2 linked regions of the Anolis sagrei genome follow. The protein of the gene in region 1 binds, or shares a complex with, the protein of each later gene. Links are inferred from orthologs where the notes say so. Each region holds a gene or a part of one and is shown on either strand. Other genes may lie near its edges. The genes, in order: EDAR and EDA.

Region 1 (12,107 bases):
TGGAATTTTCTGAATCAGCACCCCAAATAACCAAACCAAATCTAAAGTTGATCAAAACTTTATTACTTATTTGTAACCCTTTTGGTACTAATGTTGGAGAGTGGTCCCTGGTCAAAGTGGTCTCTGGTCAAAAAAAAGGTGGGGACCCACTGCTCTAGAAGAAATTAATAACACCATAAAATATAAAGAGTAGTATATTCTGAAAACTTATACTGTTTGTGGCACTGCAATCTAATATCCAATTGTTTTAGTGTATGCCTGTTGAGTTTAAGAGAACATATCTCTGAGTCTCCACATGTCTACTTTTAATAGATTAAAATATATACTAGAATCACACAAGACTGCAGTTGTACTCAGATCATACTATTTGTGTTCTGTATTTTCAGTAGAATTGGGATTCTGAGATTTGATACTTGGATACAAATAACAACATCTGGGATATACTGAACAACAATAAAGATATTATATATGCCAATATTAGTGGCTGCGCTCTGTGGAGCCTATTGAAAGGCATGATTTTAAAAACATACATACAAATATAAACCCTATTTTGGCATAGATTCTAGATATATATTCTTTTTGACATGGCTAGCTCCCCAGAGCTCCATCTTTTACATAATTTCTGATTCTGATTTATGACATTTTTCCTTGGAATGATCTTGTTGGTCTACATAATTTTAGCTTTTTTACCCCTAGATAATATGCTGGTCTATGGATTTATGTTTTCCTAGATATTTTCAAGCTGCATTGAAATTATTAGGTTGTGTTGTAAGTAGAAGTGCTTTAGATGAATCCCAGCTACCTTGTAATGTTGATTTGTACAACTTAATATCAACAATACACTTTTGATTATATTAGTTTTGGTTTGTGTTTGACTAAAGTTCCCACAATATTTTTTAATGTAATCTGGTCTGGCGTATTCTTTCTCCAGACTCAGTCTGATGGAAGACTTATTTCCTTCCTTATATATTTATGTTTGTTTTTTTACATAGAGTGGAACCTCAACTTAAGAGCATCCCACCTTAAGAGCGTTTTTGATTAAGAGGGAGCTAGCTCTTAACTCAAAATGCTGCTCGTATGTTAAAGTGAAACCCGGGCCAAGCAATTGCTCGTAAAATGCTCTTAAGGTGGGGTGCTCTTAAGTTGAGATTCCACTGTATGCGAGAGTAAGCTGTTAAACCAATCAGGCTCCTGTATCACCATATCATCCTGAACTAAATAACTTCTTCAGTGAGAACTAGAGATGAGAAGGCCTGGGGAAAAATTGGGGGGGGGGGGCACAGGGTTTTTTTTTTCTGTTTCCCCCACCCCCAATTTTTCCATTTTTGCCCCCTCCAAATTTTTCAGGTTTTTTTCAGGACTTTCCATTTCTAGTCACAACCCCTCCAAAACTGATGGAAAGATCATTCAACTGTGCTCTGATCGTTGGCAGAACAGATTTACTTTTCCTCTTGAAGCTGATGTCCAAAAAGCAGGTTGTGGGGATGAATTAGAATCATGACAATGGTATCAAAATAATGACTAAACAGTGGTTGTGAACTTAAAGTGCAGCCCTAATTAGCCAAGATTGCAGAGAGCTGGATGAGCTAAGCTAACTGGAGCTGTGCTGAATCCAAACGCCACCCAATCTATGGATCATTTAGAATTATTATTTTTTGCCTTACCTAACTTGAGGGTGTTCCCCTGGACTGGAGGACTTTGAATTAAGTTTGCAGCAACTGTAGTAAGCTGAGAGCAAAGGCAGAAAAAGGGAGGGAGTAGAGAGATGTTTAAGTTATGCCTTGGAGGAGAGGAATAATAATAATAGCAACAACAGCAGCTGAAGACAACAGTAATTCTGAATTTGTTTAGACAGATCACTCTGTAACCAGGTGCCTAAGACCAAATGTCAGAAGAGGCCTCTGCCAGTAGAAGAGAACTTTTATCCACAGAAGTGGCTGCCATATAATCATAACCCTTTACTAGTTGTGCATTTTTACAATTAATTATCAAGATCACGTTTATCAACTAGTAATCAGAATATTCATGAGAATACAAAAGTAATTCATTAGCTCAGCCAAAGGCAGGGAGAGAAGCAATAGCTCAAGCCTCCCAGAGCTTGAGAGATTTCCAAATCCTAGAGCCTACCTTTCTCTCAGACTTTGTTTTTCATTTGGAAAGTTCATGACTGATGCAGACTGAAAACTAACTCACTACATCATGGTCTAGGTTTGCATATATTTCACATATTTTGAATTTAATTTAATGTTTTCCTTGCACACATTATAGTCTTTGCATGGCAGGTGTGATCTTCATCATATTAACCCTAGCATCTGCATTTAAGAACATAAGTTTCATTAAAAATTTAACAGGCTTTTGTTTCTCCTCCTTGGGGGGGTGGGGGGCATGCTCATAGCGGTGCTTTGTTAGTTAAAGTTCTGCAACTAACTGCATCTTCTTAAGGACCTAAACCACTGATTATGGTTTCATTATTTTTCATTCTGTATATTGGAGTGGGTACCTCTTATGAGTTTAGGCACGCATTTTTTGCCTCTGTAACTCTTTAAGGGGGCCATGCTAAATGTTTTTTAATCAATATTTTTCTTGACTAATATAATGAGTGTTTTACAAAAGTAGCTCTTGTGGTGAACACCTATCATGATGCTAATAGCTTTAGGGAGATTATTGAGAGCCAGAGGGATGTACGACTTGCATAATTCCAAAACAGCTATTTAAGATTGCTTAAGATAAATAAATCATTAAATGTGAGAAAACAAAACAAAAGATCTCACCTGCAAAGGATTCTTATCATTAATAATAAATCACCTCTCTGCCCCTACCCTGGCATTATGTGTAGCCTGAAGGGTTGAGCATAATGAACACTTTTCAAAAACTAGGGTCTCCCTGTGTATCTTACTGTGCCAATAGGGCGTAGAATGGGGGAAACTACATGAAGAAAGAAAGCTCTCCTCAGAAGCTCCTAAATGGATGTCATCGTTCTCCCTGCCAGAGGAGGGAAATGAAGTTTTGAGAACTTCCCTCAACAATTCTGTTCTCTCCATTTCATTTCCTAATTTCATTTGATGCTCAGATAGGGTGTGACGCCATCAGATGGGGAATGGGAAGACTGGCATCAAGTTGCCATTCTAGTTTATCATTATTTAGTAATGACAGGCAACACTTAGCCAACTGATTGGGAGACTGGCAGCATCAAAATTGATAGAATATGACTTCGACTTCAAAAGCTTAGAGAATTACTATGCTGCAGATGGAGAAAGCATTGTTTGATATCTGTAATGTTTCTCCACCTGATCTTTGTTGTGGTAATTATGTAGTGTTGTTCTTTTTTTTCTATGCAGGGCTGGTCCTATTTATTTAATTAATTTATATCCTATCTTTCTCCCAAGATGGAATTAAAATGACTTACAATAATTTTAAAAATTACTTTTTTGGACTTCAATTCTCAACAGACAACATGGCCGTGACCATGCGGGTTGTAGTCCAAAAAGATAAGGATGCATAAGACTGTGTAATTTTATGCACGAAATCGTAGTCTTCATAGTGTCAGTATGTTTGTATGTAAGATTAATCAAACCCCACTGAACTCAAAAGGCAATTCAGCAGCATAAAGGACTAAATGTTTCCCTTACTGTTTTACTCACCTTCTATTATTATTTATTTTTCTTAAAATTATCTATATCTTGCCCTCCACCAAAAATAAAGATATCTTCCCTACTTGGGATGTTACACATCTTTGTGAAGTTGAGCCAAAGGAACGTCACTTCTTCAGTGTCATTTTGGTACAATTTCAAATGGAAATAGGTAATTATTATTTTGCTGTTGTTGCTGCTGCTGTTTGAGAACATAGACCTGACTGAAATGCATAGCTATATTTTGCCCTTCAGGTGATGTTAGCGGAAGCTTTGAGGCAAGGTTTAGGGTAAAGAAGTCCATTTCTGAAACAAGATGAAAGTTAAGCAATTAAAGGATGAGGCTCATATTTAATTTTCCCCTTAAAGTGTAATTTTTCATGAAGTGACAACCTCCAGCTCTTTTCAAGTTTTATAGCTGTTCCACATTTGGCAGCAAGAACAGGAAGCCATCTGTAGCAGGATCATTGTAGGCTTATTCACCTATAGATACGGGGGGTGGGAGATTAAAAGCAATGAAAACTTTAAATGAAGGCTTTGAAGATGTGCAATGTAGGATGTTTGTTTCTGCCTGAGGGCTTGAGCTCTACAAACAATAATAGTGGAACATTGATATATTTTTAAGGTGGATATTGTAGTACAAGATCAGACAGAGGTGTAAGGATCGAAGTTTTTACATCCCCTTCTGAGCATGTTTAAAAAGTTAGACCACATTTGTCAAATTCAAAAGTCTGCAGGCCAAATCCGGCTTGCTGCGTCATTTTATGTGGCTCTCTGGATGCTGGACTACAACTGCTGGATCCTTTATTATTAGATGCCATGACTAAAGCGGATGAGTGTTGTCATACAGTAACATCTGGAAGGCTGCCGTTTGTTTGGTTTAGTCAGGATAATGGGCTTTGAATTTAAATCAAAGCTTGTGGTTATGATGTCTGACTTTACAATTTCCTTTAAATTTTCCCCAACCTCAGAGCCGCCAGTGCTGTTGGGTTGTAATTTCCATTATCCCCAGTTCACATGGTGGATGATCAAAAGTGATGGGGCTTGTCATTCACTAACATCTGAGGATCCCAACTGGGTAAAAACTAAAGAGCACCTTTATACATGGATTCTCCATCCATGGATTCAACTGTCCTTTGAAGACAACCATGAAGTGATGCGTCCCTCAATGAAAATGAGTTCGACATGCCTTGAGTAGACCAGTCTTAACCATCTCTGACCACAAAAGGTGAGAATTGGATAGAGGTGCCTCTTAGGCAGCCAGCATATGTTTCTCAGACAATAAAACAATAACGTATGACTGTCTGGGGAATGGTGAGGAGATTAAACATTACAATTCTTACAAAATATCAGCTAAAAACTATTCTAACATTTGTCAGTTCTCAAGTGTCTTCCAGAATAAAAGAACTTTAGTGCAATATTTCTTGCAGGAATCATAGCAGTAGATAAATGATCATTATCATCTTCCCATTGAAGTTTGGAGCTGGAACCATTGGTAACTGGATGTTTAGTTGATTTTGCAGTTCAGCCCAGATAGCAAGGTAGCTACCATCCTCAACCAGGTGGAGCTGAGAACAATGGATTTTTTTAACTCTGGCCTAAATTCATTTAAAATGCCAATTTCACTCAGATTTGTAGCCGGATGGGGGCCAAAACTTCACATTTCTGGCAGGGGTATAGCTTACTTTCAAAGCATCTGAACAGAGGCATGAGATTCCTGCAGAGCTCCTGGCATTTCAAAAGGATGCCAGGAGCCTTGGAGGGGACATTCTTGGAGTATTACTATTGAAAACAATAGTCATAACTAATCCATGTCATTGATTTCGACTGGTTGTTCTAAGCATGATTAAATATTGATGCAACTTATCTAATAAAGTCTTGCCAATCCTTTGTAAGGATGGTCCAAGTTTTAGCTGCTATGCTATGTTATCGGGTATTGTTTTTAGACTGGATTGCATTAGTTGCAAATTTCTTCCAAAATTTAGAAAGTTAGGATTCTGGCATACTTGTTCAGTGTGCCAGAATGCCAACTTTGTGCCAGAATGCTTACATGGAATAGCATTTGAAGTGAGTTACAGTAGGCATGGAAAAACTTCGGCCCTCCAGGTATTTTAGACTTATGCCTGAGTTACAGTGATAGGTGCAAGAACTGCTAAATTGCAGTTAATTTTTAGAAACCACCTGTACTTTTACATTTAATAAAAACAACTGAAGCAGTTACTTTTTCTAACACTGGGATGCTACAAACTGCTGTGGTATGAAGTATACTCTTCCATCTATCTCATTGTCAGTAGGGTACCTATGTGTGATGAATGCTGTATGGGATAAGGAGAGCTATTGCTAGTTTTGATCACTGCACTTTTTAATTATTTTTTTTAGTAATCCCCAATTGTAAACCAAGTTACTGTTTAGTTCAACAAGTTTTAGGATAGGACCATGCATTTTCTGAGAGCAGCACCCCAGTACAGAATATTGTCTTTCAGAGAATTACTTTCCATGTCTAGATAAGAAGCATTGTAATTATTTTAATTGCTTGCAAATGGAAGCTCATGATATGTATGTCTTTCTTCTAATTTGTGGGAGAAAAGGGTTTTTCCAGGTAGTTAAAACAAGCATGCCCTAACCAGCGCTTAATCTTTGGACTACAGATCTCAGAATCCTGCAGCCAGTGTAGCTGCTTGGAGAATTTTGTGTTTGGTAATTTTAAAAAAGTAAGTTTCACACATTGTAGCAGGAAACAGTTTTATTTTAAGTTAGATAACCAAGACTAACTAGTAAAGGGCTCACTATGAATTTGGAGAGAGGGTCCTTTTTCAGCCCTACCTGCAAACACCAGGGGCTTTCTGCATGCCAAACACACGTTTCATGAGCTGCTTCTAAAGAGAACAATTTGGTGAATAAATCCCTTGGTCTACCATATTGACTCCACATGTAATGTGTTAAAAATCCATTGACATGGATCCAGAGGAGTCTTGTACGAGTGACAAGGCACGTCCTTGGATTTAACATAGCTCTGTAGCGTTCTTCTGGTTTTATCTTGTTGCTGTTTCCTGTCCCATTTAAAATCCCAGATGGAAGACACCATTCCTAAACCTATTTGATGATTATTGAGGCTTTAATTTGTGCTTTTCCCCATGAAAGTTAATAATTTTCAAATACAAATGACATAAGCAAAGACCTCTGTGCCCATTGCCTATGTCTTGGCACTCAGGGTGTTAAATAAAAATATGCAAAATTGGTAATTAGATGTAACCAGAATGTTAGGTAAAATGCTACAAGCCTCCAGGCCTTTCAGCATGTTCTAAAGTTGCACAGAATCAGTTGTCTAACCGTGGGTTAGACTCTGAGGCTTTTGAACTCGGCAGGTTTCCTTTCAGAAGACAAATTAAAAAGTTGATTTATCTCTTCTCATCTTGCACACCTTTCCAAGATAGAGAACTGCTCCGCCTTCTTAGTATCAAATGCTAAAATGAAATAGGGTCTGAAAACACCTACTTAACTTTAGAGTTATTTGCCTGTTGTGATGGAACAGTATAAGGATGAGAGAGAAGCAATGGTAAGACTTTTATTAATTTTATAGTTTTACAATAAAATTGATATTTTTCTAGAGATGTCATAGTTTAAGTTTCACTCTTGCATCTTTGGTTGGAACTGCATTATGTTCCAGACGACATTATACAGCCATGTAGATTCATCATATGATGAGGAGTAAGCCCTATTGTCTTACATCTTAGACATGGATACAATTATATGCTGATATAAGCATTTTAGCCAAAGGTAAATAATCTCATAGTGGTAAAAGAAAATGGCTTTTGAAAACTGGTATTTATTTGTGGCACAATAACCTGAAAGAAATGTGATATCCTATTTTGGCTTGTAGGTATTACTGCATGAAGTCATATTGGCAGCTTCGTATATTGTAATATGTTATGATGTAACCAGTGTATTTTCAGTTGTTCAATAAGCAGACAACATGACCTTAAATGAAGGGTTTATGTGGAAACAAACTGATGCACTCTGACCTGCAATTCAGTCTTTAGATTTTTTCGCTCTTAAATAAGGCTTTTGTATCATCACATTAAACATTCTTCCTTAATGATACTGTATAACATTTTGCCAAAGGAAGAAATGACATTTTAATATGGAGGTATTAGTGAAAGTTATGTTCATGGGCTTATTGCTCAAGCCCTACTCATGTCCTATGAAAATCTCAATTCATTTGGAAATGACTTAAATGGGGTAAGATTCTGCATGGTGTGTGCAAAAAGCTGCTTTTCAACATAATATAGCAATTGAGACAATTGAAAAGGTAGCATTGGCAAGTATTGATAGATCTCTCATTTTTTCTGTCTCCAGCTTTACAAATGGAAAAAAAAACTGTATAAAATATGTATTATCATTTTGATAGGTGATAGAATGAGAGAGAATGTGAGAAAGAGTGTGATAGATGGTGGTAACTCAGTGTTGCCCAAACTTTGTTGAGGCGGAACCTCCATCTAATGGACCTTTCCACTTCCTTGAACTCATCATCAGTATGTCTACAGGAAAAATGCAGAGAGAGAGAGAGAGAGAGAGAGAAGGGGGAACAAAGAGGGAAAAGAGGAAAGGATTTTTATTCATACAAGTTGTGGTTGTATGCAAGAATCATGGGCAAAGGTATTAATAGCCCTATTTCTAGCCTTAGAAGAGAAATAGTGGATGATATTTCAGACTCCCTAAAACCATCTAGAAGAAGGCATCAACATAGGAGCTTCCTGGTTCTTTTTCATAATTGTGCTAGTTTGTCTGGGCAGTTGGACAGTCACTTACATAAACCCAACATGAGGATCTTTTAATGAGCCATTTTTAAATTCATTGAGATTGAACAGCAGGGAAAGATGTCCTCTGAAAATTCTTCCCTTCAGATAACACCATGCTGGTTTGTGGCATTCAGATTGTTACTGTCATGTTTCCAAACTCTGTTCCACACAGTATAAGGATAGTTTGAGAGAACAACACTGGAGAAATGCATTTGCTACTTAACGTTGATCCTTCAAAAAGTCCTTATGTTGGTGAATTGTAACAACCTTGTTGCTTTGTTATCAGTTATATACTCTGCTCAAGATAATTGAAGAAGGGTTATCACTAAACATTGATGGTGTTTTTCTCAGGGAGGTGAAATAGTGGAATTTCATGAGCTTTTCAAGGAACTGTTAATAGTAAAGAAGGTATATGATGTGAATGACAGGTTGTGAATACAGAACCAAGATGTATTTTCAAGGGCAACTTCTTTCAGATATTGCTGTCAGAGCTGATTCATTTATCTTAACCTTTGGGTAAATCCATCTGCACTTAGCTGCAGAGAGAGAAAAAAGTTAAATATAGCTACAAAACATATTACTTGTTTATATTTAGCATTTCACGTTTTTTAGTTTCAGAGAACTGAAATAATGTTTTATTATTTTTGCCTACAGCATCAATACATTTGTTGGAAATAAAATTCATTAGCTTTTTGCTGGCGTCCTTAGATTGAGGCAAGAATTTGCCAATGTGCCATATCGTTAAAATGCCATATACTCTTAATGATTTTTTCAAGATACAAGTATATGCTGGCATATCTAGCAACAGTGAGCAAATCTTTTGTGTTGATGCTTGCAGAAGTGTGTGTTTGCTCTGGAGGGCATAATTCGCAACTTCAGAATGGCCAGATTCACTGAAGTCATTGCCAAATGCTTACAGACTTCCGCGGATTAAGGTTACCTCCTTAAGCACACAGGAGCTTTCATCCCAGTGGCTTCCAGCAAGATGTGTGTTCTTCTAGGGCCTAGAGTCAAATTATTCAAGCGTTACCTCACAGTAGCGGAAGACTTGCACCCTGAAGGGGGGAAGATTCATAATGAAGCACAGCAATGGATTAGATATACTGTATCATATAGCGGAACCATTCCCTCAAATGAACCTCTTTGAAGGATACCAAAATGGCCTATGCCAACAATGATCAAACCTAGAAGATCTCCACTAGCAAGATGTTGAACATATAAAAAATGTATATCAACTAAATCACATCAACAGTATGCTGTAAATCAGAGATGGGAGATCATTTGCTCTTCAGATGTCTCCTATAGAGCCTTGTCATTGGCATCTCCTGCTATCATGGCTGAAGTCTCAATCACATAGAGACCAACAGGTTCTCCAATATTTTGACCTCTGTAACAGTTTGAGTATACCCACAACTGCTTCACTTACTCAAATATTTTGAAGTGGGGATGAAAATGAGAAGAAAATCATTCATTTGGATTACTGTGCATAGTATTGATAGATTTTAAATCACCATGACCAAGATGTACATTGCATTCTGTTCCCGAGCACCAAGTTCAAGCAACATATGGAACAGGTTTTAACAACATAGAAAACACTCTTTCTTGGGACACCAGCAATTTAAACTGATGGGATTAGCGGAGCATAACAGTGTTCACTATGTTTGGGTCATGACAAGCACTTTAATTTTATGGATTCAATTAAATTTCACTTGCAGCAGAGTGTACTCATAGGATACACTGTTATATCTGCTTGGCATCAAAATGCATTCATAGAAATTGTTTTTTAAAGGAAAAGTAAGCCACTTAAGAACTAATATGTAGTATAGCCTAGTGTGCCCAAATGCAAGGAGCTAACTATATGAGGGTTACTGCTTCTATCACATTCCTTGTCAGCATATAAAAGAAGTGCAGAGAGACATTCAGTATGTGGACTAGATGGATCTCTAGTATTTTTCACTCAGTGTCACAGGGATAGTAGTTGATCTGGAGAACATTGGCTATTCATGCAAAACAAAACCTTGAAATTTGCCAAGCAATGCTATCAGTGGCACTGGGGATAGGGGATTCTAGGAACTGTAGTCTCAAATACTAACTTCTCCAAGCTCTGGTGCAAGAAAACCCTCTCAAGGTACTTTGAGATATTTGCTTTACACCAGCACCATGTTATGATAAGTGGATGCTCACAATTCAGTGTTGAAGCTAGGATATAGCCACATTGAAGAATTATAGCCCCTACCATAATTGCTACAGTTCACTGTTAGAGAATTCTGGGATTTGTGGTTTTCTGAGGTATCTAACCTTCCCTGTCACAGAGCTCTGGTACAAAATTCTATAGCAATGAACCATGAAAGTTAAAGGTGTTATCAAACTGCTGTAATTCTGCAGTGTGTCCTCTCCCATGGTGATCCCTGTGGAGAGTTGTATTCTCAAACTATAAGCCTTTGAAGTTCTGCTTTGTACCAGAGCTTTATGTTCTTCAGACCAATTGTTATTCCCACAATATCATCCCAAAATAAATGCACCAACAAGATTAGTTTAGAGATAGAGCCGCAAGCATCATAATTCTTCAGTGGCAATAATTATGTACACAACAATCACTACCGCCACCACATAAGAGCCTTTTTCTGTAGACTACATCCTGTTGTATTTCCCAGTTCAGTTCTGTACTCTTCAAGGTAGATAACATGTTGAAGCGCCTTGGAAAAGAAATGCATCCATCCCATAGTGGCCAGAATGGATGAAGTGCAACAGCCAAGAAAGAGAAAGAGCCTTGTCACATTACACTCTTATAGCACTATACTCCACTTCAACTGCCATGGCAATAATCCTGTCGAAATCTGGAAGTGATATAGGATCCTGTACTATTCTATTAAATGAAGGCCTAAGGGACTGTGTTGGAGAATGTCAAAGTGATGAAAGAGGATCTTTTATTACGCCATGATCTCTTTGTGTTTAGCTGATACCTCTGGGTGTGGGTGGGCCCTTTTGGAGATGGGATACAAGTACAGATAGCTGTGTCTCTGATGGTGTATACAAAATATATGGTAACCTGCCTGCCAAACGCAAAGGTTGGGGATGTGAGATATCAATGCCTTGTGGGTTTATTCCAGAATTATGGCATAAAATTGATTTTTTTTTGTATGCAGTCAGCAGTTATTTTGGAAATGGTAACTATAGTAGAAGGGCCTGGTAACCAAATGTAAGGGGTCAAATAAGAGCAGCAGACAAGACAGGCTTTGAATTTGATCCAAGCAGGAATATTTAAAATATAGTTTTACAACAGAGTTGACACTGACTTCAGTGTATTAGAGTTTACTTGGCTGAGTAAATCAAAATGTCTTGTTGCTTTGCTAGTTCTTTCAATGTATACGCGCAGTTTCATTCTGATAGTTCACCATCTTGAAGCATTCAGTGTGTTTGTGTATATGGAGAGCAGAGAGGAAATTGGTTTCTGGTTATGGACTCCACAGAGCGGCATCTTTATAGACTTGTAGGAAGAGAAAGTACTGATGCTGTTGCATTTTACAGACATTGCCATATTCTGTCACCTCATTTTCGCTTGCTTTAAAACCCCACAAACCTTGTGCTCGACTTACAGCTGTTTTCTACATTAATGGTACAGTTGCAACAGCTATTCATAGCCATGGATGATGACTCCATCTGTGACATGTTCCTGGCT
Region 2 (12,682 bases), on another chromosome or scaffold:
GGAAGTCTCTCCGGGATTCTCTAAAGCGACTCGGAGGTCAAACTGAGGGAGACAGAGGTGCGAAACAGGCCAATGCAGAAGGCTCTTTGGGGCCGGGTTGCGCTTTCAAGTCTTCTTCCCCCCTCACCCCAGTTTCACTCCTCCTCCTCCTCTTTCCTTCCTTCCTTCCTTCCTTCCTTCCTTCCTTCCTTCCTCCCTCTTCCCCTTTCCTCTCCCCCTCCCTTCCACTCTGTGTCCTTTCGAAGGGAAGGGAGAGGCCTTTTTCTTAATGCCATTTTATACACTGTGCTTCATGTTTAGGACTTTTTTGCACTAGTAGTCCCTTCCGACGACATTGGATTCCCCCCTCCCCTCCCCCCCCCCAAGATGGTTTGACAACACACTTAACAATGAGGACAACAACGACAGCAAACCCATGCTATAATTCAGTTGTATTAAAACTTATTATCCTACTACTCTTCTGTGTTTCAATAGTCTCTGTACCTGTAATGCTTTTTCGGTTTCTGTTGTATTTCGGACCAGGGTTTTCCCTCTGCTCCTTGTTTAACCCAGTAAAGAAATAAAACCAAGTGTTGAGAATTGACGGTGAGAAGCCCCCGCGCGGTCGGTTATTTCTCCTCCGAGAAGGACTTCCCTCCATCCGGGCACTGACGTCCCTAGGAACGCAGCCCAGAACCGCATTGGCCTTTTGCGCTGTTGCGTCACAATTGTGCCTCGCGTTCAGTTTGTGTCTCACAGGGGCTGTTTCCAAGGGACTGGGTCCCTCATCCATTATGATGTCTTATGTTTATACATCACTTTTCTCCCCACAAGGAGACTCACAGCGGTTGCTATATCCCAGATGACTTCTTTCTGTACATTATTATTATTATTATTGTGTTTATACCCTGTTTATTCCTTCAACATTATTATTATTTATTATTTCACAGATTTGTATACCGAGCTTCTCAACCTCGTTGAGGGACTCAGCCCGGTTTACAGCCATAAAAACATATACACTCATTAAAATATCATATATCACAAATTACAAAACAACTTTAAAAACACTAAATATAAAACTACAGTGGTCAGTCGTCCTAATAAGATGGATCTATATCCACTTCCATCCAGAGTCCTATGGTGTTGGCTCATTCCTCGAAGGCCTGACTCCACAGCCACGTCTTCACCCGTTTCCTAAATGTTAGGATGGATGGGGCGGTTCTGGCCTCTAGAGGGAGAGAGTTCCAGAGTTGTGGGGCCACCACTGAGAAGGCCCTGTCCCTCGTCCCCACCAGCCGCGCTTGCGAGGCTGGTGGGACCGAGAGCAGGGCCTCTCCAGATGATCTTAGTAATCTTGATGGTTTGTAGGGGAGAATACGTTCAGAGAGGGAAACAGGGCCGGAGTCGTTTAGGGCTTTATAGGTCAACACCAGCACTTTGAATTGTGCTCGGAAGCTAATTGGCAGCCAGTGGAGCTGGCGTAACAGCGGAGTGGTGTGCTCCCTGTATCCAACCACCGTTAGTAATCTGGCTGCCGCGCGTTGGACTTGCTGCAGCTTCCGGGCAGTCTTCAAAGGCAACCCCACGTAGAGAGCGTTACAGTAATCTAAGCGGGATGTAACCAAAGCATGTACTACTGTGGACAAGTCAGCCCTCCCAAGGTACGGACGCAGCTGGCGCACAAGTTTTAATTGTGCGAAAGCTCCCCTGACCACCGCTGAGACCTGGGGTTCCAGGCTCAGCGATGAACCCAGGAGAACTCCCAGACTGCGTGCCTGAGCTTTCAGGGGGAGTGTGACCCCGTCCAGCACAGGCAGTCACCCCATACCCTGTTCGGTCTTACGACTGACCAGGAGGACCTCTGTCTTGTCTGGATTTAGTTTCAATCTGCTGTCCCTCATCCAGTCCGAGACAGCGGCCAAGCACCGGTTCAGGACCTGAACAGCCTCCTTAGTGGCAGGTGGAAATGAGTGATAGAGTTGGACATCATCTGCGTACAGATGACATTGCACCCCAAAACTCCGGATGATCTCTCCCAGCGGCTTCATGTAAATGTTAAACATGGTGACTCAAAGTTGCTATATGCCATAGGACTTCTCACGATCCATATTATTATTAGTTTATGTTTATTATTACCATTATTATGTTTATTATGTTTATTTATTTACTTATCCTTCTCTCCAGAAGGAGACTCAAAGTGGCTCCTGTATCCCATATGATTGCTGTGTACTAATCTTGTTGTGCATCCAATAATAATAATAATAAGATCGCTCTGCTAGCTGTTGTATTGGATCACATGTCCTTCCCAAGTGTCTAGGATTGTGTGATGTATTGGCGTGTAATGCGTGCAGATTCCAGTAGAGAGGCCTTTTGCAGCTGACAGGTGGGGATTTGGTCAGCGCCAATTGTTTTTAATAATAATAATAATAATAATAATAATAATAAAACTTTATTTATACCTCGCTCCATCTCCCTCAAGGGGACTCAGTGCGGCTTACATGAGGTCAAAATAACATAAAAACATAGAACCAAGCAAAATACATAAAATGCAAAATCAAAACAATATATGACGCAAACAATATAAAATCAAGAATTAAGGAAAATTTCACAAGGCAGGGCCAGATTCACGGATACAATTTTTAATTTTTTTAAAAAAACATTGGGAGATAGGACATTGTAAATTATATGGAGGAGGCTCCGGGAATGAGGAAGGATTTCATTGCACAAACCAAAAATAAAGTGCTTCTAAGGACATTTTGTGCAAAATGTGGTCAGGGAGAATCTTACATTATCTTAAATGTAATCGTACTTACATTTAAGTGCAGGCCAAGGTCTTGAGGCACTGCACCCAGTGTGCCCATCACCTCCGGGACCCCTGAAGTCGATAGGAACTTCAGGAGGGTCTGCCCCAGGAGGAGAGACCCTGTGGCCTCACCAAAGAGGGATCACTACATTGGTGAGCAAAGAGAAGCCTGATTTTAAGCAATTTTTATTTCCCTAGGTTCCCAAACAGAATCTCACCAAGGTTGAAGAAGCACCACCGAGATGTTTATTAGTGATTCAGCTGAAAAGGATGCAAAGCCGCGATCATTCGTCAAGCAGAGCATGTGGTTACAGAAATAAATGCCATTTTTATAGAAAATACAGAGTTGTGAGTTTCAAAATTCCCGATGGTGATTGGCTGGCGCGCTAACAGCTTGGCCGTTCTCTGTGCGCCTGGGCCAATCATAGGGCTTCCGCGGTGCGCCTGAGCCAATCAGGAGGCTCCCCCACCTCGACACTCCAGTGAATCAGAAGGGAGGGAGGCGAGACAAAGAGATACAATGCATTCTTGAGTGGATTATGGAGTTTAATAACCTGGAGGCTTAACGAGTCTGGAACCTGCCTGCCAGAAAAACCAACTTTATTGTCTTGAGATGGGTCTGCAATAAGCATTGATCACTTAATCCGGCTTTTCCGCTTGCGATCAGATAGAGCACAAAGGGGAAGACTTTGGTGAATGTCTTTAGTGGAGAGATTTGAAAGAAAAACGGGTTGGGAGGGAAAGGGCTTTACGAAGGTCATCTTTCCCCCATTATTATATGATTAAAAAGTCTGCCAAGCGGAAATCCTCTTGATGGCCCTACTCCGAAGTCAAGAAAGATATTCCTTTGTTATTGTCCACGCAAGAAATGTCCTAAGATAAGGGTACTTTCATGATCGCTAATTGCTTTTCAGAGACAGGGCAACTTCCCTCAAGGAAAGGGGAAAGGGGGTAAAAGGGTCAGGGCAAGGTCAGATACATGAAGGGAAATATAGAAATCTAGTAATCTTGATGAAAAATCATATCCAGGCATCCCCCCCCCCCCCAAACAGAGCAATTTTAATCACAGCACAGTTTGAGTTCATAGTTCATTTTGGAAAAATTCATGGGTGAAAAAGGTTTTTTTTTTAAATGAAGTCCAAAAGTATATGACAGAAAGTCCAAGTCACAAAAAGGAGTCTGGTGACTTCCACTGAGCCAAAAGATGGAGTCCTGCAGTGCTGAGGTCGAAGCTGGTCCTTGGTCCTTGGAAAACTATAGCTCCTTCCAAGGGCTGAAGCCTGATGATGAGGCTTGGATTTTGACTGTTCTCCTTTTAAAAAATATTCTTGATAAACCAAAGGTTATTCCCTGAGCCTAGGGGCCCAAAATGCAAAAAAGCGAGATGGCAGATAGGGTTAGAATTTAGCTAGGAAAGATATGGCATCAAAATGGAGTCGATCCGTCAACTTGCGGATATGGGGCCCCGAAGGGTTTCTGTATCCGCGGTTTGAAGGAAAGCAGATTCAGCCTCCCTGGGACGCCAGGAAGGCATCCCAGGCAGGCCTGCGGTCTCCCGCAGCCCAGAAAAGGTTGTTTCATGCATTTATTTATTTATTTGCTTTATTTCTATACCACATTTTTCAGCCCAGTCAGGCGACTCAATGCGGTTTACACAATACAGGTTATCAAACAATGTCATAGGCAATTAAAACACATCATATACAACAAACAAAATCAACAACAACTATCAAATCATGTCATAACGCCTCAATGAAATCAGATCCGTTCTCATAATCCTTGTGCCATTCCTATGTTCAATTTTACCGTCTTTCTGTGTTCAGTTGCACTGTTTAGCCAAACGCTTGCTCATAAAGCCAAGTCTTAACCTTCCTCCGAAACGCCAACAACGAAGGGGCCTGTCTGATGTCTACAGGTAAGGCATTCCATAGCTGAGGGGCCACCACCGAGAAGGCCCTGTCCCTCGTCCCCACCAGACGCGCCTGTGACGCAGGCGGGACCGAGAGCAGGGCCTCCCTGGACGATCTTAATGTCCAAGTCAGTTTGAACCAGGAAAGGGACACAAAGTATCATTCTGGAGAGGTTAGGGTTACAATTCATTTAATCTTTATTGAGGGATTTGTTACCTAGTTTGGGCTGGGAAAAGGAGTGAGAGGAAAGAGCACAGGGCGGCAAAGAGTCCCCGGTTGAGGCTGCTCTTGCGGGGGCACCAGTTTCATCAGTTTCAGCCCAACTGGGCATCCAGGAACTGTGGAACCCCCTGCGGCTGGTCAGATCAGCTTGAAGGCAGGGGTCAGGGATGCCCTCGACGACACCCCCACGATTGGCTTTGCAGCTCGATCTTTCAATCCTCGCATCGTGTCAGCTTTTCCAGTTGCTTCTCGTTGATCGCCTGGGATTGGCAAATCCATGACCCAGGCACACTTGGTTTTTCCCCACAGTTGTGAGGTCAGGAGTCGTGTGCTCACTCAGCCTGAATCCGGAAGTCCCAGAGTGGTCTGACGTGTTCGTTTCCTGTGACTCTAGGCAGGCTGGCGATCCCACCCGGATCTTTGTGGCACCAGTTCCAATGTATTGTCAAAGGCTTTCATGGCCGGAATCACTGAGGGGTTGTGGTAGGTTTTTCCGGGCTAGATGGCCATGTTCTGGAGGCAACTTTTCTCCTGACGTTTCGCCTGCATCTGTGGCAAGCATCCTCAGACCTCACTACCTCTGAGGGTGCTTGCCATAGATGCAGGCGAAACGTCAGGAGAAAAACTGCCTCCAGAACGTGGCCATCTAGCCCGGAAAAACCTACCACAACCCACAAGTTCCCATGTTGAGATGTTGTTGATGCCTCTCCCATAGCAGGCCCCCTCCCTGCCTGCCCTTCCCCTCGGCGCCCGCCAGGTGGCGCCCTCGCCTCGCCTTCCTTAGAGGAGCGGCTCCGCCCCCTTTTGTCTCGAGAGGGCGGGGCCAGGCCTCGTGACCTCGCCGGAAGGGCTTCCAGGCGGGGGGGGGGCGAGGGGGGCCGGGGGGGGCAGGAGATTAGGAAATCCGCCGGAGGGCCCCCCCTCCCCAAAGGCCGCCCAGCTCGGAAAACAGACCATGGGATCGGAGATATCCTCTATTCCATTATTATTATTATTATTAGATGAATAATTAATAGTCCTTGTCATACTCCTCATTTACTCCCAGTGTGGGTCTCTATGGCTGTTCTCTCTCCCTCCTGGGGGGCTCCCAATGGCATGCCTGCCCTGCCTTCCTGGCTCACCCACGGGGTCGCCCTCCCCTCCCCCCGTCAGCACCTTGGCCAGCTCCTTCCTGAGACTGCCTTCCGCACATCTCCCGGGAAGGAAGGCGGGACTTCCGGGCAGCCAGCCCTCTTGGGCTGCGAAGGGGGCGGGGCGAGCGAGCAGGGAGAAGCCCCGCCTCCCCCTGGGGGGGCCTTGAGAGGAGGCGGAGCCAGCGAGGGGGCGGGTTTCCCCTTGGCCCGCCCCCTAAGGGTCTCTCTGCGGGCTCCTTCCCGAAGCCGCGCCCTCTTGTCTTGGCCCCGCCCCCTAAGGGGCTCTCTCCGTGCTGCGAGGGGGCGGGGCCTGAGAAGGGGGCGGCCCTCTCTCCCTTGGCCCCGCCCCCTGAGGGGCTCTCCCTACTGGCTCCTTCCCGAAGCCACGCCTTCCCTCCAGAAGCCCCGCCTCCTCCTCCTGGCTTGGCCCCTCCCCCTGGGGGGCGTTGAGAGGAGACGGAGCCGAGGGCGGGGAAAGCCAGCGAGGGGGCGGCCCTCCCTCCCTCCCTCCCTTGGCCCCGCCCCCTGAGGGGTCTCCCGGCTGAAGCCCCGCCCTCCGCTCCTGGCCTGGCGCCGCCCCCTGAGGGTCTCTCTCCGTGCTGCGAGGGGGCGGGGCCTGAGAAGGGGGCGGCCCTCTCTCCCTTGGCCCCGCCCCTGAGGGTCTCCCTGCTGAAGCCCCGCCCTCCGCCCGTGCTCCTGTCTTGGCCCCGCCCCCTGAAGGGGTCTCTCCTAGCGGCAAGGGGGCGGGGCCTGCGAAGGGGGCGGCCCTCCCTCCCTCCCTCCCTTGGCCCCGCCCCCTGAGGGTCTCCCTGTTTCCGGAGCCTGCCTGCCTGCCTGCCTGCGAGGGGGGCGTGGCCTGGAGCGGGGAGAGCGCGAGTCGGCGCTCCCTCCCTCCTTCTCTCCGCTTGGCCCCGCCCCCTCCCGGGCTCCGCCCCCTGGGGCTTCCTCCTGGCGCGGGCGGCTTCCAGGCCAGAAGGCAGGCGGGCGGGCGGGCGAGCAGGCGGGCAGGAAGGAAGGAAGGAAGGCAGGCAGGCAGGCAGGCAGGCAGGAGGATGCGGGCGTCGTAGCGCCGCCATGGGCTCGGAGCCGCCTCTCCCCCCCGCTCCCGCTGCTCCGGCTCTGGCGTGCTCGGCGTGGGTGTGGCGGGCGCTGGGGGCGTTCCTGGCGCTCTCGCTCTCGCTGCACCTCCTCACCCTCGGATGCTACCTCGAACTCCGCTCAGAGATCCTGCGCCGCCGGGACACCCCCCCAGGGGGCGCACACACGCAACACCAGCACCACCAGCACCACGCCCAGCTCCCCACACCAGCAACAGCAGCAGCAGGAGGGGCCGGGGGCGGGGCCCAGGCAGGGCCGCCACGCCCCCCGCAAGGCACGCCCCCCGCCCACCACCACCAGCGGCAGGTAAGGGGGGCGGGGGGGGACGTGACCCATCTGGGCTTGCACCTGTTACTAAGGGGCATCCTGTCTGTGTTAACATAGAAGAAGAAGAAGGGGGAGCTGCCATGGGATATCATGAATAGGATTAGCATAGAATAATAATAATAATAATAATAATAATAATAATAATAATGGGAGGGGGATCTACCATGACATCTAATGAATCTTATTAATATATAATAATAATAATAATAATAATAATAATGATGGGAAGGGGAGCTACCATAACATATGATGAATCATATTAATATATAATAATAATGGTGATGATGATGGGGAGGGGGACTACGATGACATATGATAAATCATATTCATCTTAATATACAATAACAATAATAATAATAATGGGAGGGGGGAGCTGCCATGACATGATGGATCATATTAATATATAATAAGAATAACAATCATAATTCATATTAATATGTAATAATAATAATGGGAGGGGGAGCTGCCATGAGATATCACGGCCAGGTATAACTATGTGAGGGGAATACGTCCTAGGGAGGAGGAGGGAGCAAGCTTCCTTTCTGCTTCCTTTCCTTGGAGACTAGGACGCAATGGAGCAAAGGCTCCAAACTACAAGAGAGGAGATTCCACCTGAACCTGAGGAAGAACTTCCTGACTGGGAGAGCCGTTCAGCAGTGGAACTCTCTGCCGTGGAGTGTGGTGGAGGCTCTTTCCTTCTTTGGAAGCTTTTAAGCAGAGGCTGGATGGCCATCTGTCAGGGGTGCTTTGAATGCAATATTCCTGCTTCTTGGCAGAAGGAGGTTGGACTGGAGGATGGCCCACCAGGTCTCTTCCAACTCTAGGATTCAATGAATTATATTAATATATAATAATTAGCTATATAAAGAAACATGATGATGATGATGGGAGGGGGGATCTGCCATGACATAGAATGGAGCATATTAATCCATAAAAATACAGTATAACAGTAGTAATAATAATAATAATAATAATAGTAATAATGGTGGAAGCTCCTTCCTTAGTCGCCATTGTTTTTATTATTATTACTATTATATTTGTTATTCATTCATATGATTCATCCTGTGCCATGGCAGAAGATTCCAGTAAATATGGTATTGAGGGTTTATTATTTATATATTATTTATTCATTCATTCATTCTTTATTTATTTATTTATTTCCCACCCCTCCTTTTGGCTCGAAGCAGGGCACAACATGCATTATTAATACTATTATTATTATCATTGTTATTCCTTACCCACCTCTCTTTTTGTCTCAAGGTCCCCAATGACATGTACTGTTATTATTATTTTCATTATTGTTATTATTGTCATTCCTTACCGGCCTCTCTCTTTTTGGCCCGAGGCTGGGCACAGCGCAGTTTACATGCATTCCATAAAAGCACCTCGGAGGGCATGCGCCGTGGGTGCCGTAGGGGCCGGAGGGATGTGTCCCGTGGGCCCGGCCCTATTTTTTATTTATTTATTTGGGGTTCTTTTACCCCGCCCTTCTCACCCCGAAGGGGACTCAGGGCGGCTTACAAAAGCAAGGCACAATTTGATGCCTGCATCATAAAAACAATCAAACACAAAATTACATCAATACACAGTTAACACCAAATATACATTATAACCATAAAATCAATAAAACCAAATACAAACCCAGTTTGTCCTCTTACATGGTCAGCGTTTGCTACTCATAGATCTAGTTTTCCGTTCCACTTCATCAATCCTGCTGGTCTTACTCGCCTGGTTGTCTGATTTAATTGCCGGAGTGCCCAAAGGCCTGGTCCCATAACCACGTCTTCACCCTTCTCCTGAAGGCGAGGAGGGATGATGATGCCCTGATTTCCCCTGGGAGTGAGTTCCACAGGTGAGGGGCTACCACTGAGAAAGCCCTGCTCCTCGTCCCCACCAGCCTCACTTGTGACAGTGGTGGGGTCGAGAGCAGGACCTCCCCAGATGATCGCAGACTCCAGGGTGGGACGTAGAGGGAGATATGTTCGGACAGATACACTGGACCAGAACCGTACAGGGTTTTGTAGGTCAAAACCAGCACCTTGAATTGTGCTCGGAACTGAATCGGCAGCCAGTGGAGCTGGCACAGCAGAGGGGTGGTATGCTCCCTGTATGTCGCTCCAGTGAGCAATCTGGCTGCCGCTCGCTGGACTAGTTGAAGTTTCTGAACAATCTTCAAGGGCAACCCCACGTAGAGCGCATTGCAGTAGTCTATTCAGGATGTAACAAGAGCGTGGACCACCGTGGCCAGATCAGACTTCCCAAGGTACGGGCGCAACTGGTGCACAAGTTTTAATTGCGCAAAAGCTCTCCCGGCCACCGCTGAGACCTGGGTTTCCAGGCTCAGTGATGAGTCCAGGATCACTCCCAAGCTGCGAACCTGCGTTTTCAGGGGGAGTGGAACCCCGTCCAGCACAGGCTGTAACCCTATGCCCTGTTCGGCCTTACGACTGACCAGGAGGACTTTTCCAAAGGGCTGTGCAAGGAGATGGCTGCCCTTCAGGCCTTCCTTCATGGGCCGTTGGGTCAGTTCCCTGGGGCCCAAGCCCCCCTTCAGGCCTGGTCAAGCACACAGAATGATGGTGGCCTCGTCCTTGGCCATGCCTCTGCCCATGCGTTTGAGTTTGGGAACACACTCCCATTCCACGGTGGCTCTGTTTACTTTCCCTTTGGGATTTCTGGGCTCACGTGCAGGAGGTGGGCCTGTTCTGCAACCGGCTGGGGGGGATTGGCCACTTGGGGTGTCCGTTCTGTTTCCTTCAATCCTCTTGCAGAGCACTCGTGTTTATGTCCACCAAAATAAGAACTGCTTTGGCTGAAAGGCGCTGCCACATTTCCTTCCTTCCTTCCTTCCTTCCTTCCTTCCTTCCTTCCTTCCTTCCTTCCTTCCTTCCTTCCATTGCTTCCTCCCTCCATCCATCCTTTCCCTTGATTCCCAGTCCTCCTTTTCTTTCCTTCCCCTTCCTTCACCCTTTTCTTTCCAACCCATTCCTCCTCTCTCTCTCTTGCCTTCCTTCCTTCCCTCCCTTCCCTCCTCCATGCCTTTTCCTTCCTTCTTTCCTCCCTTGCTTTCCTCCCTTCCTTTGCTTGCGTGTTTCCTTCCTTCCCTCTTTGCTTCCTTCCTTCCCATTCCTCCTCTCCTTCCTTCATTCCTTCCTTCCTTTGCTTGCTGGATAACTTGCTTCTTTCTTTCCTTTTCCTCCCTCCATTCCTCCTTTCCCTTCCTTTCCCTTCCTTCCTTTGCTTGCTTGTTTCCTTCCTTTTCCTCCATCCCTCCCTCCCTTCCTTTCTTCCCGTTCCTCCTCTCCTTCCTTCCTTCCTTCCTTGCTTTGCTTGCTAGCTTGCTAGCTTGCTTCATTATTTCCTTTTCCTCCCTCCCTTCCTCCCTTTCCCTTCTTTCCCTCCTTCGATGGTTTGTTTCCTTCCTTTTCTTCCTTCCCTCCCTTCCCATTTTTTCTCTCTTTCTTTCCTTCCTTCCTTCGCATGCTTGCTGGCTTGCTTCTTTCTTTCCTTTTCCTCCCTCCCTTCCTCCTTTTCCTTCCTTCCCCTTCCTTCCTTCCTTCCTTTGCTTGCTTGTTTCCTTCCTTTTCCCCCCTCCCTCCCTTCTTTTCTTCCCATTCCCCCTCTCCTTCCTTCCTGCCTTCCTTCTTTTGCTTGCTTGCTAGCTTGCTTCTTTCTTTCCTTTTCCTCCCTCCCTTTCCTTCCTTTCCCTTCCTTGATGAATGGGGCTCCTTAAAGGGTTATTTTGGGGCCACCTTCCTCCTGCTGACCTCCCTCTTGGCCGGAGACCCTTCTTGACGCCCCCCCTCCCTTTGGGGACCCATGGCCTGGAGTGGGGCTGGAGGCGGAGGATGCAGGCACCCCTTGTCCCACCTGGCAGGGTCAGCGTGCCCTTTGCAGGCAGGCGGCTCTTCCCAGGGAAAGATGGGGAAGGGAGCGAAGGAGCGAAGGAAGGAGCGAGCGGAGGAGAGAAGTTCACTGGTTCCTCCTTGGCAGCCTCTCCTGCCTCGGGGCTGGTGGACGCCATCCAGGGAATCAACTCTGGAATCAGGCTGACTTCTTGCCAGCTGTTTTGTGTTTCCAAATCGTCTATAAACAATGCGGAGAGGAAAAAACAACGCCTCCGAGCCCAACCTGACGAAGGCAGAATGAGACAAGTGTGTGTTTTTCCATCCCTCTGACTCAGGTTGGCTTCGGCTCCGGCTCCGGTGTCAGTCCCTTGCAAGGCCGCTGGGGTTGGCTCCCTTTCCCTTCGCCCAGGACTGAAACCCATTCCGTTTGGAGCCTGGGCTTGGCCTTCTGGCGGGTTTCCCCATCAAGGAGGGTGGACTGGGGGGCCTTTAGGGGACCCTTCCATTACTATTATGTGAGTTGGAAGGCCATCTATTTGGATTGCTTTGGTGGTGTCCTTCCTGGTAGAAGGGGTTGGACAGGATGGCCTTTAGGGGTCCCTTCCAATATTACTCTGTGAGCTGGATGGCCATCTCTTTGGATTGCTAGGACCCTATCATTCTATGGCCGGCTGGATAGCCATCTGTCAGGTGGGCTTTGGTGGTGTCTTTCCTGGCAGATGGAGGTTAGACTGGATGGCATTTAGGCACCCATTTCAATATTACTCTGTGACAGGCTGGATGGCCATCTGTTGGGAGGGCTTTAGTGATGTGCTTCCTGGCCAAAGGGGGCTGGATTGGATGGCCTCTAGGGGTCCCCTCCAGCTGTAGGACCCTATGATTCCATGACGGGCTGGGTGGCCATCTGCTGTCCTTCCAGTCAGAAAGGGATTGGACTGGATGACCTCTGGAGGTCCCTTCCAATATTGTTCTGTGGCAGCCTGGATGGCCACCTGCTGGGAGTGTTCTGATGATGTCTTCCCTGGCAAAAGGAAAAGTAGACTGGATGGCCTTTAGGGGTCCCTTCCAAAATTATTCAATGATTCTATGACCATCTGCATGGAGGACTTTAATAGTGTCCTTCCTGACAAAAGGGGGTTAAGTTGGATGGCCTTTAGGGACCCCTTCCAATATTACCCTATGCTTTTATGACAGGCTGGATGGCCATCTGTCAGGAGGGCTTGAGTTGGGTCCTCCTGCCTGAGAGAAGGGAGATGGACTGGATGTCCCCTTTGTAGTCCCTTCCAAGTAATATGAACCTAATAATCAATAGCAATAGTAATCAACAATAATAGTAATTCCATCTTTCTTCTTGACAGAAGT

Evidence for each region.
Region 2: the proteins of EDAR (region 1) and EDA are in contact, whole or in part, in a crystal structure (PDB 7X9G), measured with the Homo sapiens proteins. The link is inferred for Anolis sagrei from reciprocal best matches to the Homo sapiens genes EDAR and EDA. Residues at the interface, in NP_071731.1 of Homo sapiens: Glu55, Pro56, Tyr57, Leu58, Lys78, Ile86, Arg88, Arg89, His90, Asp92, Glu94, Gly95, Phe97, Val134; in NP_001390.1 of Homo sapiens: Gln256, Ser258, Ala259, Gln261, Asp265, Asp273, Arg289, Tyr310, Tyr311, Lys340, Thr341, Tyr343, Ser370.

The regions. Positions count from the first base shown.
Region 1 is NC_090023.1:107,390,158-107,402,264, reverse strand, and holds the start of EDAR (tumor necrosis factor receptor superfamily member EDAR), read left to right. Parts: upstream 1-6,987; 5' UTR 6,988-7,152; coding exon 7,153-7,185; intron 7,186-12,107. UniProt on the Homo sapiens protein: Receptor for EDA isoform A1, but not for EDA isoform A2. Mediates the activation of NF-kappa-B and JNK. May promote caspase-independent cell death.
Region 2 is NC_090030.1:170,532-183,213, reverse strand, and holds the start of EDA (ectodysplasin-A), read left to right. Parts: upstream 1-7,058; 5' UTR 7,059-7,121; coding exon 7,122-7,451; intron 7,452-12,682. UniProt on the Homo sapiens protein: Cytokine which is involved in epithelial-mesenchymal signaling during morphogenesis of ectodermal organs. Functions as a ligand activating the DEATH-domain containing receptors EDAR and EDA2R. May also play a role in cell adhesion.